2 linked regions of the Lonchura striata genome follow. The protein of the gene in region 1 purifies or fractionates together with the protein of each later gene. This does not show direct contact. Links are inferred from orthologs where the notes say so. Each region holds a gene or a part of one and is shown in the gene's direction. Other genes may lie near its edges.

What was found.
Region 2: the proteins of CD44 (region 1) and FGFR1 purify together in Homo sapiens (affinity purification with mass spectrometry; 3 studies listed by BioGRID and IntAct, counting the BioPlex papers as one, with this or other methods). This does not show direct contact. The link is inferred for Lonchura striata from reciprocal best matches to the Homo sapiens genes CD44 and FGFR1.

Annotation. Positions count from the first base shown.
Region 1 is NC_134608.1:43,624,208-43,632,369, reverse strand, and holds the start of CD44 (CD44 antigen), read left to right. Parts: upstream 1-4,964; 5' UTR 4,965-5,076; coding exon 5,077-5,140; intron 5,141-8,162. UniProt on the Homo sapiens protein: Cell-surface receptor that plays a role in cell-cell interactions, cell adhesion and migration, helping them to sense and respond to changes in the tissue microenvironment.
Region 2 is NC_134634.1:4,490,772-4,499,025, reverse strand, and holds the start of FGFR1 (fibroblast growth factor receptor 1), read left to right. Parts: upstream 1-5,127; 5' UTR 5,128-5,166; intron 5,167-8,254. UniProt on the Homo sapiens protein: Tyrosine-protein kinase that acts as a cell-surface receptor for fibroblast growth factors and plays an essential role in the regulation of embryonic development, cell proliferation, differentiation and migration.

The DNA of each region.
Region 1 (8,162 bases):
CATTTATCTATATATAACAGTTAACAGTTTGGTTATGCAAATATGAAGTGTTTCCTGAGTTTCCTGAATGTTTGCCTTTTGTAAGGCTCACCTGCTCTTCTGGAGCTTTAGATGTTTGATATAATAATTCCAATGTACTGTATGGAACAGAGAATGGATGAGAAAGAATGGGGGCTAAGAAAAAGGAGAAATTAGTGGACATGACAGACAGAAGTCAAGGTAGAAATCACAAAGCAAAATCAAGTAGAAGAAAATGGAAAGGCAGCAGGGACAAAAGAGTACATCCAGAAAGTAGCTTTGCATAAGCTCGATTCACCTCTTGTATAACTGCAAACAAAAGAAATAAAAGTGGGAATACAGAGCTGCATTCCCACTTTCGTTTATTTTGCTCGCGTGTATCCGTTCCAGCACTTCTTGCACGGTGTGTGCCAGCCAGGGGAAGGAGGGGCAGAGGCAGACAGCAGCCACCTGCAGAGAACGCGAGTGTTCTCCCCTCGCTTTCCCCGCACGCCCCACGCCCAGCCGCGCAGCTGCTGCTCACTCGGGCGGTCACGAAGCGCTCTGGTCTCTGCGGCGGGCTGGGACAGCTGGTGGCACTTTCCAGCTCCATCCCCAGCAGCAGCCGAGGGGGGACATGGCATTAGAGCTGTCCGTGGGGACCGGGGTGTGCTTTGCTGCACACGAGGGTCAGCCAGGGACTACGTGGCTGCGGTGGTGCTGCGGACAAGAAAGATGATGGGGCCGCGGACAAGAAAGATGATGGGGCCGCACGGGCTGGCAGGGCTCCTCACAGGCGGCTCGAGCCGTGCGGGCTGCGGAGGTTTCTGCCTGTCTCGGATTCAGGAGTTGTTTAGGGATCTGGGGCAAACCAGTAGAACAGGCTGATGAATCCACACGCTAGGTGCCAATCTGGGTTGCTGCTTTTTTTCGGGAGTAAACAACTAGGAGCCATTGTTCATCTTCCTAACTTTCTGCAGGACACAGGTTGTAAATTACATCCAGGAACAAAAGCTTGATGGGAGTAGAACCGGGCGCTCAACTTCCCAAGGGAGTGCTTTGCCCTCCAGCCAGAAGAGCAGCTTTTCTTGCTTAAACCAGCGCAGGCTCTTCTTAGGGCTTCCCATCAGCACTCAGAGCCCACGAAAAGTGTGCAGTTCAAGATTTGCCACACTGGAGCATTTACAACCGTTGCCATTACAAAGCCTGTTTTCAGGATTGATAATGAAAATTAAATCTACTCTGAAATTGAATCCAGTCTGAAATGCAGGAAACCAGATTGCAGTCTAGAGACATAGAGGAAATATTATTAAAAATAGCATATTTTATTGATATTACGGATAAGTGGGTATGAAATCCTCCCTGCTTCCCCAAATCTGATTTTCAGCCAGTCTCACAGATCACCCGTAGTCTACACAAAACATACACAGCCATGAGCAGAACTACCTAATGACATTTTGCTTTTTTTATATTCACTAAGACCAGTTGCTGTTCAGCTCCCCATAACAAGCTTGAAATATTCACCAAGTTATGCTCATAAACTTCTTTTTTTTATTTCAAAAAATAGTATTTCTGCTGATAATAGAAAAAAATTAAAATTAGGAGATCTGTTTCTTTAGAAATTTTAAGGCTTGAGAAGACAAATGCCACTATTTTCCAGAAACAGAATTCCGTTCTACTCTTCTTTCAATTTCTTCCATTCAATAGTGAAATCAATCTCCATTTCTACTCTTTTTTTTCCATCATAAGTACAGGTTCATTCAGGTACATCCATTTTCTTGTCTGTCCACAAAATAAAATCTAAATATTCATTCTAGGGAGAGGCTGTGTCACTGAGTTCAGTGGAATTTTGTTCTTTCAATTAAGCTAGGCCAGAATTTAATCCTCTATGTGAATTCCTGCAAAAAAAACCTACTTCTTATATAGTTGTAAGCTATGCATGTTACTTTTCTAGGACTCCAATATATGTACTTCCTAGTAGGAATTTTATCAAAATTAATTAGTGCTGGCTACAGTTCACATATGTGATAAAATCACAAATGAGTTATTTTGGTGTTCCTGTGCTATATTATACCATCACAGATTCAGTATTCGCAGTATCAAAGATGTCACAGAAAAACACTCTTTTAAATTCTAGGGTTTTATCCTTTTTCAGTCTTATTGTTTCATTTTCTTTTGAAAACTTAATTCATTAATCATTTTACAAAATTTTGGTGTCAGTAGTTTAGCTTCTTGTTGCCAAGGAAGTAAGCAAATTCCGGATCTCAGATATTTAGCAGTACTGACAGGCTCAAAAGGGATGCTCTGCTGCATTTTTTCAGCTGAAGATTTGCTTCAGGATTTTTCTGTTCCTATGTAATACGGTTTTCCCAAACTAAAGGAGAAGTTACGTATTTCTCACAAAGAAATCCCCCAAACAAAACCAAAACAAACCCTGAAAAACAAACCTCCAAACCCAACAGTTTCTCCAGAATTGTACATCTGCTTTGACTAAACCTTCTGGGCAGCATTTTGCCCTGCAGCCAGGCTAAATTTGGACTGCTGCTGGCTACCTGAGACCAACATAAGCTGACCATGTTTGTGTGGGAAAACAGGAAATTTTTTGTGCCATTTTTTTGGTGGAATGCACATGTGTGTTCTAGGCTGCCATGTAGGCAGGCTGATGGCACAAAGAATGGCCAAACTCACATGTCCCATACAAACAGCTCATTAATTGTTTTTGTGATTTATCACATGAAATGATGTAAAGTTATCAATTATTTTTCTTGTGTAGATCTATCTTTTCCTTTTGCATGAGGTACTAGCACCTCCATGCTGTGGTCTAAATGTGTCTAATCTTAGCCCAGTTTTTCAGGGCAACAACCCTGAGAGTCTTTCCAAAGCAGAATACCACCCACCCTTGCTGAACACATGCAGAAATTATTGAAAAGACTGAGATGAATAACAACTAATATTTTGGTATCTAGAAAACAACCTTTACATATTCAGTTGTCAGAAGGGCTATAGAATTAGAAACTTCACACCATGAAGAGACCAGGAATTTCCACTCCTAGTTATCTAAGATTCTGCCTCTATCCCTAAAATGGATGTTATTCTCCCTTTACCTGTACCAAAGAAAACTTTTATTTTTTTTTTAATTCTGTATCATTATAAATACAGGATATTAATGGAGAGTCATTTTATGTTCATAAAAAATAGGACTCAAAATTTCCTAAATTTAAATGAAATGTTTAACTATTCTGTTTCATCCATAGGACATGAGTTTTAAAAGTAACTTAGCAGTTGAAGAAAAAGATATACTTAGTAAATTTAAAGCATTTGTTAACTGTGTGCCAGCATTTTGAAATCCCACTAATCTTTATTCATGGATTTTGATGCCAAAACATTTACAGATATAAATACACAGGATTTTACAGAACTATTTATCTTTCCACTTTAGACAATAACGTATATAGGAGATTGCTTTCTAATTGGTTTTAAAGCCATTTCTTTAAAAAAATAAAAATAGCATATTAACTAAAGAAAAGGTGTTTTATCCATAATTTCAAAGTTGCTAGCTTCATAATAAAAATATACCCTGTGTTTAAAGGAAAAATTTTTACTTTAACTTTGTCCCATCAGATATTCTAGACCTGTAGGAAAAGCCTGTTGGAACCTGTTGCTAAAAATTTGCCTGGTTGAGGAAAGGATAGCCAGCCATCTCTAAGTCAAAAGGCAAAACAAAGGCAAAGTCCTGAAAACCTCTTTATGTGACCTTCTTCTGCTTGTGGCTGGAGATACTTGTCTGTATTTTTCCACTGTTTGTGTTAACAGAGATTAAATTAATGAGAAACTTCTTTCAAGTGGGGAGATCAACAAAATGGTAATCTGATATAGGACTATTCAATCCAGATTTGGCAAGGGAAGCTGAAATCCAGGCATTTATGGCTGTTAAAGGTGAGAAGTGCTGGCTTTGGTGATCCCTGACCAACCCCTCATCCCAGGGCACAGGAACCACTGTTCCAATTCTTCAGCTCTAAGAGAAGCCAGTGCATGGAGCCACCACAGGAAATCTCCAAGGCACACAAGAGACAAGAGACAAGCCTTTTGCTTATCTACAGAGGCTTTGGGGTTTTCGCCAGAGGTTTCATGAAGAGCCAAACAAAACCACACACTGCAATGAACATATGTCCCTCAGGAACTGAGACCTTGTTTGAACCTCAAAAATCTCGTAACTTTTCATCCTGCTTCTCTGCTTTCTGAATTGGGAATAGGAGGAAAAATTCCTTCTGTACCTTATTCCATCAATAGAATAAATATCAGCCTTAGTGCTCAGCATCACTCACTTCTGGCACTGGCATTATTCACTACTTTTTGTTCATTCATTTCTCTTCTTGGAGCAGCGTGTGCAGGGACACCAAGGGTAGAACGGGCTGTGGGAAACTGAACAGCCTCAACTTACCTTCTGCATGATGTTATCCTCCAGCAGTGAACAAAAACATTGCAGAAAGCTTCACTGCAGAGCAGGCATTTTACTTGCTCTTAATAGAACCGCACAAAGAGAAAATGGCAAGATAGGAATAAATAAGCAAAATGTTTTTGGAAAATATCTAGGCTGATAAGATGCTTTACCAGGGTTTAGAAACTCGAATGCTTTTATGTTCACTTGGTTTGCAATAATGAAGAGATTTTAAAATGCAGGATGAAATGCTTATAACAAACAGTGCATTTCTGAGAGAACTCAGGAGAGATGACACAAATTTTCCTACAAGCACACTAAGTATAACTTTTGACTAGCCTAGTGTAAGAAGAGAAGGTTTAGTGGCTCTTTAAAACTCAAGTGTGCCTGCTTAGTCAGTCCTAGCTCTCCTTCCACTCCCCCTTCTTCTGCTGCTGGGTAACTTTTGTTGCAATATGGGTGTGACTTTTGATGGAGCTTCCCCCTCCCAGTTATGTCATTACTTCAGTTCCTTTGAATCAGAATAAAAAGTGCAGCAAACTTCAGACTCATTGACTGCAGGCTTAACAAGCGTTGGTGCTTTCCTTCCTTCTGCAGCTTGCAAGGATCTTTGGATTTTGCAAAACAGTTCTAAGAAAACAATGGCCAACTTCTTACGGACAATTTTTGGATTATTTTTGCTGAAGCTCTGTCTAGCAGAAACAGGTAAGATTTTTATGAATGAAAACTCTTATGATTGTTAAGTTAATGCTTCAGACAGCAAGTGTGCTTCTGCTAGATAGCTAACAGCTTTCTTGCATCTATAAACTTTACTTATTTCAAGTGTTATCAGAGATGTTTTAGAAGTGTAATCTCAGTTGTGCTGGTCTGTACAAGCACGGAAAGCTGCGTATTGCTTGTAAAGGGCAATTCCAAATATGTAAAAACTGAATTGTAGAACATTAAAGAACGAAGTTTAAATTAGGAACAGAACTCCATCAGGGAATTCGGAATGGCTCTGGTAAAGCTCAGTTTGACAATGTGACTGCTGTTCCACACGCAGTTTTTTCTCCCAGCTCCTCTTCGGACGGCAGCGAAAAGGGGGCGGAAGGAAGGGGGTGAGCCCCCACCCCCCATCCAGTTTACAGCTGCATTCTGGAGTTTACATGAGCTGAACCAACAGCTGAAACAAGCTGCATTTGGGCACAGCCTTGCTGAACAGGAGAAAAACTGCAGGGAGCTCTGCTGAAATTTGGAGAGCTTTTATGCCAAGCATGCTTGCTTCTGACTTTCTAAGGTCTCTGTGGGGCTGACTGATGAGCTTTTGGAACAAAGGGGGTTAGAAGGGACAAAGTTCAGCTGTTTATCACTTACCTTCCTGTAGCTTGGTTATCTGCTTCAAATATTTGTATTTAAGTATCTAAGGTTAATACAGAGAAAAAAATAAAAAAATTATGTCCAAAGTGACAAAAAGCTTTTGAAATTTTACATGGTGTAGGCTCAACCATGTTTTAGGGGAATGACCATACTTTTAGCAGACTCTCACTGTGACTGTAACTGCCTCGAGGCATTTTGTGGTTGGGGATAACAGTTGTGCTTCTGTATTGTTTTTGTACTCATCAGTTTCAGGAGTCTAACAAAATGCATTTTTCATGACCATCGTCACCCAGGGCCGTGTGCGTGTCTGTGTATGTACAGTAAATATGTGTCTCATTTGCTTGAGCAGCAGGGGATACTTCTGTTAATGGTTGCAGCGCTGCCAGGCTGTGAATGGGTGTGTCAGAGGGAGCAAGTTCCCAGTGCTTCTGTGATAGCTGAAGCAGCCTCATAGCTTTTCTTCCTAAAATTGTGTGTCCATTGTATCAAAATGCTCTTGCTAAGATGAGGTTTATAGGCAAAGTCTTAAGAGCAAGGACAGGGCTGCTCTAGGCAAGTAAAGTATGTCTAAGATAAGTTTAAATCCTTGGCTTGGTCCACGTCTGTGCACTGTGTAAATAACTGCTTGACTGATTTTTACTTCTATGAGCTGCCTGAAGTGTCCTAGAGAGCAGGGTCTGCACTGACTCTGGGAGTAATGTGTTTTTACAGTGAGACAGAAAGCCCCATTATTGAGCCATCAGTGTAGTTACAAAAAGTGTGTCAAGCTCCACATATGCCCTCCAGGGAAGTTTCTTTACTGGCTTAGTAAGGTACTAGAATATAGCTACAGTATATTTAAGTTGGTATACAGTACATTCCAGCATGACTTTTTAGTCAGTAATTATTTCAAAACAGCAGTTGATGGTGGTGTTTTCTATTTTTAGCCAGTGATTTTGCTGTGTATCACAGACTAATGGCTATTGATGCTGGGAAACTCCTGAACTGGAATTTTGATTCTTTTAGTACAGAATTGTACAGAATTAAAAAGGACCTGGAATTACTGTTAATGTGATTTCAGAAGGAAAAATGAGATACAGAGAAAGCTGGAAAACTTACTCATCCTGATTTCTGTGCTGTTGTGACTATACTGTCACTGATATGTTTCTTACTCATAGTGTTGACATGACTTGTTTAAGGAGTCTGGATCCCAGAGAATATAGATGCTGACATCTTGGTTAATGATGTTTTGCAGGAGATTTTCTCCTGCAAACATTATGTATTTGTAGAAATATTTTTCTTAAAGTTTTCCTTGATTAATACAAATCCTAGAATTTTGACCCCCAAACTGGAAGGGGTGGGGCGCAAGAGAAGAGAAGTAGTAGTGGTAAGCATGAAATGGAAAGAGGGACAATGAGTCTGCCTGTGGGAGGAAGGAGCTTACCTGTTAGCACTGGAGAGGTTGCCAGAGCCCATTCCAAGGTAATGCTGTGAGACAGGGCTCCTGCAGCTGCTGGTCAGTCACAGAGGAAGAGACCTGCCTGCCCCTTGGTTTACATATCTATCATGTAAATTTGTAAATAAAGTAGTTTGAAGAAGCTCTTTGTGCTAGTTTATTTTCACTCGGTCCTTGCAGTGTCTATCTTGGCAGTTTCCCAAAGCTATAAAGTAAGGAGACTTTATTAAGAGTTCACTTGAACGTTCCATCATTGTTTAGTGGAAGGGTTATGGAGCTGTCCTGGAAACACTCGCACACGCAGAGCCAACAAAGCATGGTGGGGGATTGTTTTCGAGAATTTGGAGAAATGTTTGAAGATTCTTTAGGTACTGGTGTTCACCACAATGAAGAGCCATTACCTTGAAAATAGGAAGTCGGAGAAAGGCTTAATGAGGACAGATAGCATCGGACAATTGAGGAAGAACTTTTTAAAGTAAATGCTTTTAAAACCACTGATAGCTCTAGCCAAAGTTAAACAAAATGTTCATTCATATGTGGTGTATCTTTCTTTCCAGAAGAGTTCCCATTACTTTTATAGGTCTGAATTGAAGATAGTGTGAATATTGCAGTTATTCATCTATCACCTAAACATGCATGAGGTTTGACTGTATCAAGAATGTGCCAGGAGCCAGAGACATCATGACATGCTGTGATAGACAGATACACACCAAAGAGAATCATGAGCTCATTACGCCTAAAATACTTGTTGAAAAAAATGTGATAATATTTGATAATACTAGTTCTTAATGTAGTTGACTGATAGTAAAACACCTTGTAGAAGAGCAGAGAAAAAGCAATGTAGAGTTCCTTTATAAGGAGCAGATAAATCAGTCAAAGAATTTAAAAGTTTTTTGGTGTTCCAAAGCTGTAAAAAGGTTACTCCATCTGCTTTCT
Region 2 (8,254 bases), on another chromosome or scaffold:
CTGTGAAGACAAGATAACAGCCGAGGAGGTGGCTGTTGCTGCTCTGATGGACTTCAGCACCTTTATCTGCCCCTGGAGATCTTCTGGGGCCAATCCAAAGATATCAGGAGCATTTCTCAGGGTGGGGAGCCAAGGGGACAGGATGGGCAGTGTCCTGGCCCTGCCCTGGCTCTAGAGACAGTCGCTGCCCTGGGCAGCCATCAGGTGTCCACAGGGGAGCCCGTCCCTTCTCCAGCCCACAGGCAGCAAGCTCAAGGATGCTCTGCTCCATTCCAGCCCTCTGAACTTGCCTGGGTGTGTGGGCACTTTCAAGGAGCCCAAGAAGCCTCGGCATGCATCAAGCACCAGGGCAACTGATGGGAAGAGCTGGAGATCCCCTGGGACAGCTTATTAAACATCCCAGCCCTGCGAGCAAGCTGGGCTGGAACAGAATGACATTCATACAGCAGCTCAGCCTCAGTGCCAGAGGGGCAATGTCAAACAAACATAATTAATTTCCCTCTGCAAATCAATCGGGGGCAGAAGTCAAGCTCTCCCAGTACAGGAGATAGACTGCAGTAGATAATCATCCTACAGGATGAGCGTGAGCCTTGCAGCTCTTCCAGGGGCACCTGCTCACCTCCCAGCAAACCAGAGCCTCCCCGTGGGCAGGAGCTCTTTGATGCACCATCAGTGAGTAACTGCCTGCCTGCACTGCCCAGGGCAGGGAGCTGAGCCTGGCAGGACTCTCGGGCAGCAGGTTTCTGGGATGGATAGCTCAGCCCTTTACCTGGCAGCTCTGGCAGTGTGGGGAAGGCTTTGTCTTGGTGCCAGGAGTGCCTGTGAGGATGCAGAGCCCTGAGCACCATTGGCCCTCATCTCCCCTGTCCCTCTGCCTCGGGAGGCAGGCAGATATCAGTCTGGGGACATGCAGGGGTGCTGGCCTGGCTGCAAGCACTGCTGGGGAGTTGCCTGCCTTGACTGCTGTCTGCAGACAATAAAATATCATGTGATGTCTTAATGAGCCCCTCGGCATGTGACAATTGCAGGGGAGTGGAGCTCCTGCCTGGCTGGAGGGGTCAGTCCCAAGCTGTGAGGACCATCAGGAGCTGTCCTGTCCCAGCCAGAGGCTGTCAGGACTCTCAGCCCTGTGATGGGGCAGAGAGCTTTCATCAGCTGTGATTGAAAATGAGATACCACAGGAATGTCAAAGAAGTGGCAAAAACAGCTGGGCTGGGTGCTTTGAAGGCAAGGCTGGGTGGCATCGGTGTTCTGCTGTCCCTGGCTGAGCTTGCTCCATCAGCTCCTGCCAGGTCTCCTAAAAGTGCAATTGTGGTGCCCCAAGCACTGGTGGTCCTGGAACAGGTCCTCACCTCCAAGAAGAAGATGATGTTTGGGCAGTTTGGCAGGCAGGGACTCCTAAAAAATGTGTTTCCCAGAGGAGCAGCCAAGTAGTGGTGGGTGGGGGAGGTTATGGTGTTGAGAGGAAACCAAGAAAAGAAAAAGCCAGTGTGGGTCCAAATGTCTTGGCTGGACAGTGGCCTGTGAGAGGGACTCGAGTTCTCTCAGAGATGGCATCAGCAAACCCCATCCCTGCATGCCACTGCTGAGCTGCCAGCCTTGGGGCAGCGTGCCAGGCGCTCTCTGTGACCCAGATGTTCCAGATGATGGGAAGCGCTTTGCCAAGGCCAGGCAACACACCTGGAATCCCTGCAGGGTGCAGAACAAACCCTGCGACACCTGGAATCCCTGCAGGCTACAGAGCAAACCCTGCGACACCTGGAATCCCTGCAGGCTACAGAGCAAACCCTGCGACACCTGGAATCCCTGCAGGGTGCAGAGCAAACCCTGCGCCCTGGCTGTGAGCGGAGAGTGGGAAAAGACACCAGCCATGTCTTGGGAATTAGCACAGAGGGTGACACGGGCACAGCCTGCCCTCGGTGCTGGTTCCCATCTGGGGACACACAGGCGTGTCCTGCCCGAGCCCCAGGCCCGGGCTGCGTCCCTGGGACCGCGAGTGAGCACATGTGCACGCCCGGCTCTGCCCCGCGGGGCTGGGGCACGTCCCACACGCGTGTGCTCTCCTGGCCGGGCTGGGAGCCGCCAGCTGCCTGCCAGGAGCCCCGCACCCTGATGGGCTCCAGCCTTTTCAGGGAGAGATGGAGCTGACAAAGTCTTTGTCAGTCAGATCTGTCAGGGAAAGCTCTTTGTTCTTCAGCATTTGCTCTTGCCTCCCCCTCTCCAAACCTAAACTAGATGCATCTGCTTTTGTTTTCTAAATGCAGAATTAGGGGCTGAAAGGAGCCCCTTTGTAGTGGGGAGGAGGGGAGAGCTGCAGATCTTTCACGGGGAAGGCAAGGTCAGGGGGGAGCCGCTCTATTGTGCAGGGCCTCTCCTCTGCCGGCTCAGCCCTTTCTGTGCCCCCTCTTCACAGTCCGGCACTCTGGGGACGTGGGGAAGCCAGCCCGGGAGGACGGGCTGCTCTCCCCAGCCCGGGAGGACGGGCTGCTCTCCCAGCTGCGGGGACGGGTCAGCTTTGCCTGCGGTGGATTTTGCTGCTTCCGATGCCGCAGCTGGGAGCCGGCGTGTGGAGGCAGCAAATGAGGAGGAGGAGGAGGAGGAAGATGAAGACCACCCCGTGGCCTTGGGCTGGCAAGTGGAGGCGGGCAGTCTGACAGAGCTGAGTGTGCAGATGGGCACACGTGGGGCTGGAGGGGCTACACGTGTGCACACGTGTGTGTGACTCCGTGCAGGGACACAGCTGGGGCGTGCGTGCTCCCACGGGAGGGCAGAGGTGGGGGCCAGCAGGTACAGCCCCCGTGTGTGCTGCGGGAGGAAGGGGGGTCTGCCAGAGGCTGTGCAAGCTGTGGGCTCTGGGATCCATGTCCCAGGGAAGCTGCTTCCCAAATGCCTTTGTTCCTCCTCAGACAAGAAAAAACCCTCAGCCATGACAATGCTCTCCAAGCTCTGGCCTCCCAAGCCTCAAAACTGCACCACCAATGCAAATGTGTCCACGGAAGAGCCCTGCACATCACACGCTTCCTGCCCTGGTCCAGGAGAAGGGCAGGGGCCCAGCATGGGCTGCTGATGCCAAGGAACTGCCCCAACCCCTGCAGGGCAGGGGGCCCTGAAAGGGCCACAGTGAGCTCTGGCTTGCTCCGTGGTCTCTGCTGCTCCTTGGCGCAGCCATGCCCCTTGCAGACCCCCACCTGCTCCAGGAGGTCATTCCCCCTCCCTGTCCATCCTGAAGGGCTTGCTTGTGCACACACCAGATGGTGACAGCTCATGGTCACTTCTGTGCTGAGCCCCAATGTGATGCTGAGGCCAAGGATGCAGCCAGATCTTTGAGCCTCCCGGGAGCAGGGGATGGTTTTCCCCATTTTCTGCTGTTTCCAAGCACCTTTATTGATAAAGGCCCAAGAACTGGTGCTCTGTTGATGCAATCATGCAGAAAACCATGCCAAAGGACCAGCAGCCCCAGAGCCTGTCCATCATGAGGGGTTGTAGCCCGTAAGGTCTGTTTTGGAGACAGCATAGAAAAGTCTGGGGCAGAAGCCTAGTGGGAGTCATGGATAGCAGGGTACAGCAGCTGTGGGTTCCCCAGCAGCCTCGGCACCTTCAGCCCAAAGCTCCTGGCTGCTGGGCAGTGAGGAAGGCAGGCCTAGGGATGGGTGGCTGCACCCTAAGTGTACACTGGATGAGTAGTGCTTGTGCAGGGCTGGAGTTGGCTCTGCCATCACTGAAATACTTCCCATCTCCAGCTTGCTGGGAGAACATCCCAGCAGGTGTGTTACCTTCCCCCCTTCTCCCTGTCCACAAATCTGTCAATCTGGAAGGGAAATATTCCACAGGTCTTGGCATGGGGAGCTGAACGGTTGCCTGAAGCAGGAGGAGGCTGCTCCTGGGGATGGATGCCCAGCATTTGGTTCAAATCTAACACCGGTGACTGACAGGGCTAATTCATCCTGTCCTCTTCCCTCTTATAACTTAATCACTCACACATTGCCTCGGCAGGTCTTTCCCTGCTGACTGGAGATGTCTTCATCCTGGGATGCCCTGACTTGGACTCATGACTGCTCCCACATGCTTCCCACATGGAGGCTGAGTGCCCTGCACCACCCGTGTGACCCTGAGCCAGTCCAGCTTTGGGGGAGCTCGTCTGAGTGCCCAAACTGGGGCTCTGTGAGCTGGCCTTCCATACTGGGGGCTACAGAAGTCACGCTGGGCTTACTGGTGTGACAATATCCCACTCTGCCTTTTGGCTTGGGAACTGAGTGTGGCCCCAGCTGAGACTAAGCCAAAAGTGTGTGCTGAGAGTTTTGGGGAGCTCTGTGTTAGAGATGCCATGGTCCTGCTCCAAACCTCGGTGAAAACAGCTGGGAAGGGCAGGGACTGCAGCAGTGGTGGCTCCTGGGAAGGACTTGGGGCTGATGATTTGGGACCTCTGAAACATCTGCCCTGGGCCTTGCTCTGCAGAGGGGCTGGCTGGGGCTCCAGGATGCCCAGAGCTGTGCCCACCCTGCTGCCTGCATGCACTGCCCGCATCCCGCTGCCTCCACACCGGGTGTTGCACTGGGATAACGGGGGGTGCAGGCAGGCCCCTCACCCCAGCCGGTACCCACGGGGCCTGAGGCTCCCCTGGTGCCAGCAAGAGCCACAGGGCAAGAATGCAGCAGTGAGGGGAACATCACGGCCAGCATCCCTGTGCTGCCCCGAGCCCAGCCTGCCCTGCCTTCGGGGCGATCACCGCCCGCAAAGCCCCGGGGGACGTCTGGAACGCCACTCCGAGAGGCCAGCGGGGTCTCCAGGTGGGGGGGCGGTCCGGCTGTGACTACAAGCCCCATCAGGCCGCTGAGGAGGAGGAGGAAGGCGGAGGAGGAGCCGCGGCTGTCGGCGGGGCGGTGCGGGAGCGGCTTAGTTCGGCGGCGGCGGGCGCTCGGCGGGACGCGGCGGGCGGGCAGCGGCAGCGGCGGCGTCGGGGCGGCCGCGCCTTCGGGAGCGCGTCCGGCAGCGGCTCCGGGAGCGCCTCCCGCCGCCTCCGCCGGCCGGGCCGGACCGGGGCTGCCATGGGGCGGCCGCTGTGAGCGCGGCGGCGGTGGGGCTGCGCCTCTCGCCCCGGCCGGGGCTCCCCTCCATTGTTCCCGGGAGCGGCGGCACCGCGCCGCCGCCGCCGCCCGCGGGGCTCCGGTGAGTAACGGCCGCCGCTCTCCGCGCGGGGGGCGGCACCGGGACCGCGGGGCGTCGCTTTGTGTTCCGCGGGGCTGGCCCGGGGGCTCGGTCGGGGGACGGGGCTCGGTCGCGGCCGAACCCCCCCAGGTGCGCCTCGTTGCCCTGGCGGGGCGGCTCGACGGCGGCATCGGCGCGGGGGGGGCTCCGCCTTGAGGGACCCGGGGGTTTGCGGGCAGCGGGGCGGTCCGGTGTGCGGGGCTCGGGGGCCCCGGGCCGTTCCCGGGGTGCAGCCGCTCGGCGGGCAGCAGTTTGGGAAGGCGGCGGGTCCGACCCCGTCCATCGGCCGAACCGAGACTGGAACCGCCCCCACCGTCCCGACCCCGAATCCCCTCCCGGCCGCGGGGGAGCCTGGCGGGAATCGGGGGTCGTTTTCCGAGTCGCTGCCTGGCCCCTTATTCCCCAAAAGTAGCTGAGCGGGAGCCTTGCGGCTTCCAGAGAAAAATGGAGAAGGAGCTGTGTTTGGTGTGTTTCAGTTCTGGGATCCCGGGGCGGTCAGCGGGAATGGAGGCGCTGGAATAACGCCGTCCCAGAGCTGGTGCTTCCCTTTGTGTGTCCGCGCCGGTGGGGCTCCCGGAGCCGCCGCATCCCAGCGCCGTGCGGGCTCCGGGAACCGCTCGTCCGCCCACGGCGGAGGCGCCGGGAGTGCGGGGAGGCGGCGGCGACACCTGCGATGGCGGGTGACCGCCGCGCCGATGCGGTCACCCTCGGCACCCGGAGGGATCGGTTGCAGAGGGGTTTGGTTGTGCTTTTTGTGGTTCTGGGGCCGGGAGACGTGGAGGTGGCCGCTGGCCGCGTGTGGGGACGGAGCAGAGCGTGTGTGCGTTCAGGTGACGCCGAGGAGCTCCACGGCTGCCTCGCCGTTCCCGTTCTGCCCGGGTTACCGAGTTACTGCCCCGTGTCCCGGACCGCGGCGGGCCGGGGCAGCTCCCTCCCGGCAATGTTTAAACCCGGGCAGTCGGTGAACCCAGCGGCTCTCACGGTCGCGCTCGGAGGGACGCTGGGGCGGTGCGCCGCTGGAGGCGGTGGTTTCTCCGCCGGGGCTCTCCGGTGCCGACGAGCGGGATGCCAGCACGGGAGGGGGCGCACGGAGAGCCCCCCGCGCGGCGCGGGGACGCCGCGGGAGCGAGGGCCCTGCAGCCCCCTGCTCTGGCTCGCAGCCATCTTCCCCACTCGGGAGCACTTCCTCCCTTAATCCCTGCGCTGGCTGGCACGCACTGCTGCCTTTTCCTTGTGTTGCTCCCAGAGGATTAAAATAAATCGCCCCTGCCCCGGCAGGGTGCAGGCACGAGTGGTGCCGGGCTGAAGGCAGCCGGCGGGAGCCTCGTCTGGGCTGTTCTGCACACAAGGTGCCTGCCCTGGCCATGCGGGAAGGGTCACTGCCAGAGGTGAACTGGAGCTCCCTCTTTACCTACCCACCTAAAAACATAACCTGAGCCGGCAGCCTTATTGTCTCCAGCCCCAGGTGGAGCCCCCCCAAATCCTGGCTGCTGGAAATGGCTGCTTGCAGATGCTCATCCCATCCTGAAAATCCAACTTTCTGACCCTTTAGGGACCTTCTGCTTCTGGACATGATGGCAATTGTGTGTCCTTCCCCTCTCAATGGCTTTCCTTGGAGGAGTGCAACGTAGTGAAAACCCAATCCAGCTCCCTCCCGGGCTGGGTAATGGGTCTCTGTCCCTGCCTGGGATGGCAGGCTGTGATTGTGTCCCAGTGTCCTCGTCCTTGACCAGTCTCCTCCCAAAGCAGTCAAGGGGTCCAGCCCAGTACAGATTTTTGGGTATCAGTGGTTGTTTTGTATATCTGAAAATCAAGTCTTGAGGTAGGGAGGGATCCCTGGTGTGAGGATGCTTCTAGAACTGTGATGGTTTTGTGGAGATCTGTGGGTGTGGCTGGGCGTCCTTCCTGCCCCATGTCCCAGGCTCTCCCACCACTGGATACCTTCCCACAGCTCGGTGCTGGAGGTGGCCCTGGTAGCCCTAAGACCTGGCAGCCAGCTGGGAAGGGTTAACATGCTCTTTATGCTGCACAGTTGGATATTTATTTTTCCAAGCATGTGTCTGCTTTAAGCATTACAGGTTTTCCCTACAGTTCCATGTGCAGTTATGTTTGCCTTTTATTTCAGCAAATACTTGGTTCTTGACCTGAGCCACAGGTTGGAGCACGAGGCACTGGGCAAGGGAAAGGCTTCGCTCCTGCCGCCCACGGATTGTGCCTTTGGTGTGTCCTTCTTCCCCAAGGGCAGCTGGAGGGCTGCTTTTGTTGTGCCTCAGAGGAAAAGGAGTCTCTTTTCATGTGCTTTGGAGCTGAGGGGCATTTGTGCCAGGCAGGGTGGTCTGCTGGCAGTCACCACCTCCCCTCTGAGGGACAGGGACTGCGCCTGATTGGGCACAGTCTGCCACCTCGGGCTCCTGATGCTGTGCAGACCCAGGAATTGAGCTCAGACTCCTCTCCCTGCTGGATTTGGCCTGTCCCTGTTCTTTTCCTGCCTGCTGTGTTAGCCGCTGGCTGCTGGTGCCAGGGCAGCCCGGACGTTCTGACGTGGTGAATGCCACGGGCCATCTCTGCCCCAGCAGGGAGGCAGAGGAAAGGAGCCAGAGCCCCCCAGCCCCACTGAGCCCATGGCAGCAGCCACCCCCATCACATCCAGCACACAGGGATCAGACTGGGGCTCCCCTGCAGATGTCACAGCATTGCAGGGCTCCGACCCTGGCTGGACACCCTGCTCCTGCACCAGCTCCTGTGCTTGGCACCTCAGCTGCATTCCAGAGATGAGCCACAGGACAGGAAGGGGCTTCCCCTCTCAGAGCCACTCAGCTCAGAGCCAGGGGGTGCATCTGCTGTGCAAGTGGGAAGGTCCTGTCTGTGCAGTGTCCCTGGGACAGCTCAGCCCTGTGACTCAGGGCTGTGGGAGATGCGAGGAGCGAAAGTGCAGCCCTCAGGGTCCCTGAGGGCAGTGAGAGACAGGTTGCACAAGACTCCTCGTGGACACACTGGTGTGCAAAGGCAGTGTGAGAACATCTTTCCTGGTACACAGGGAGCATGTGCC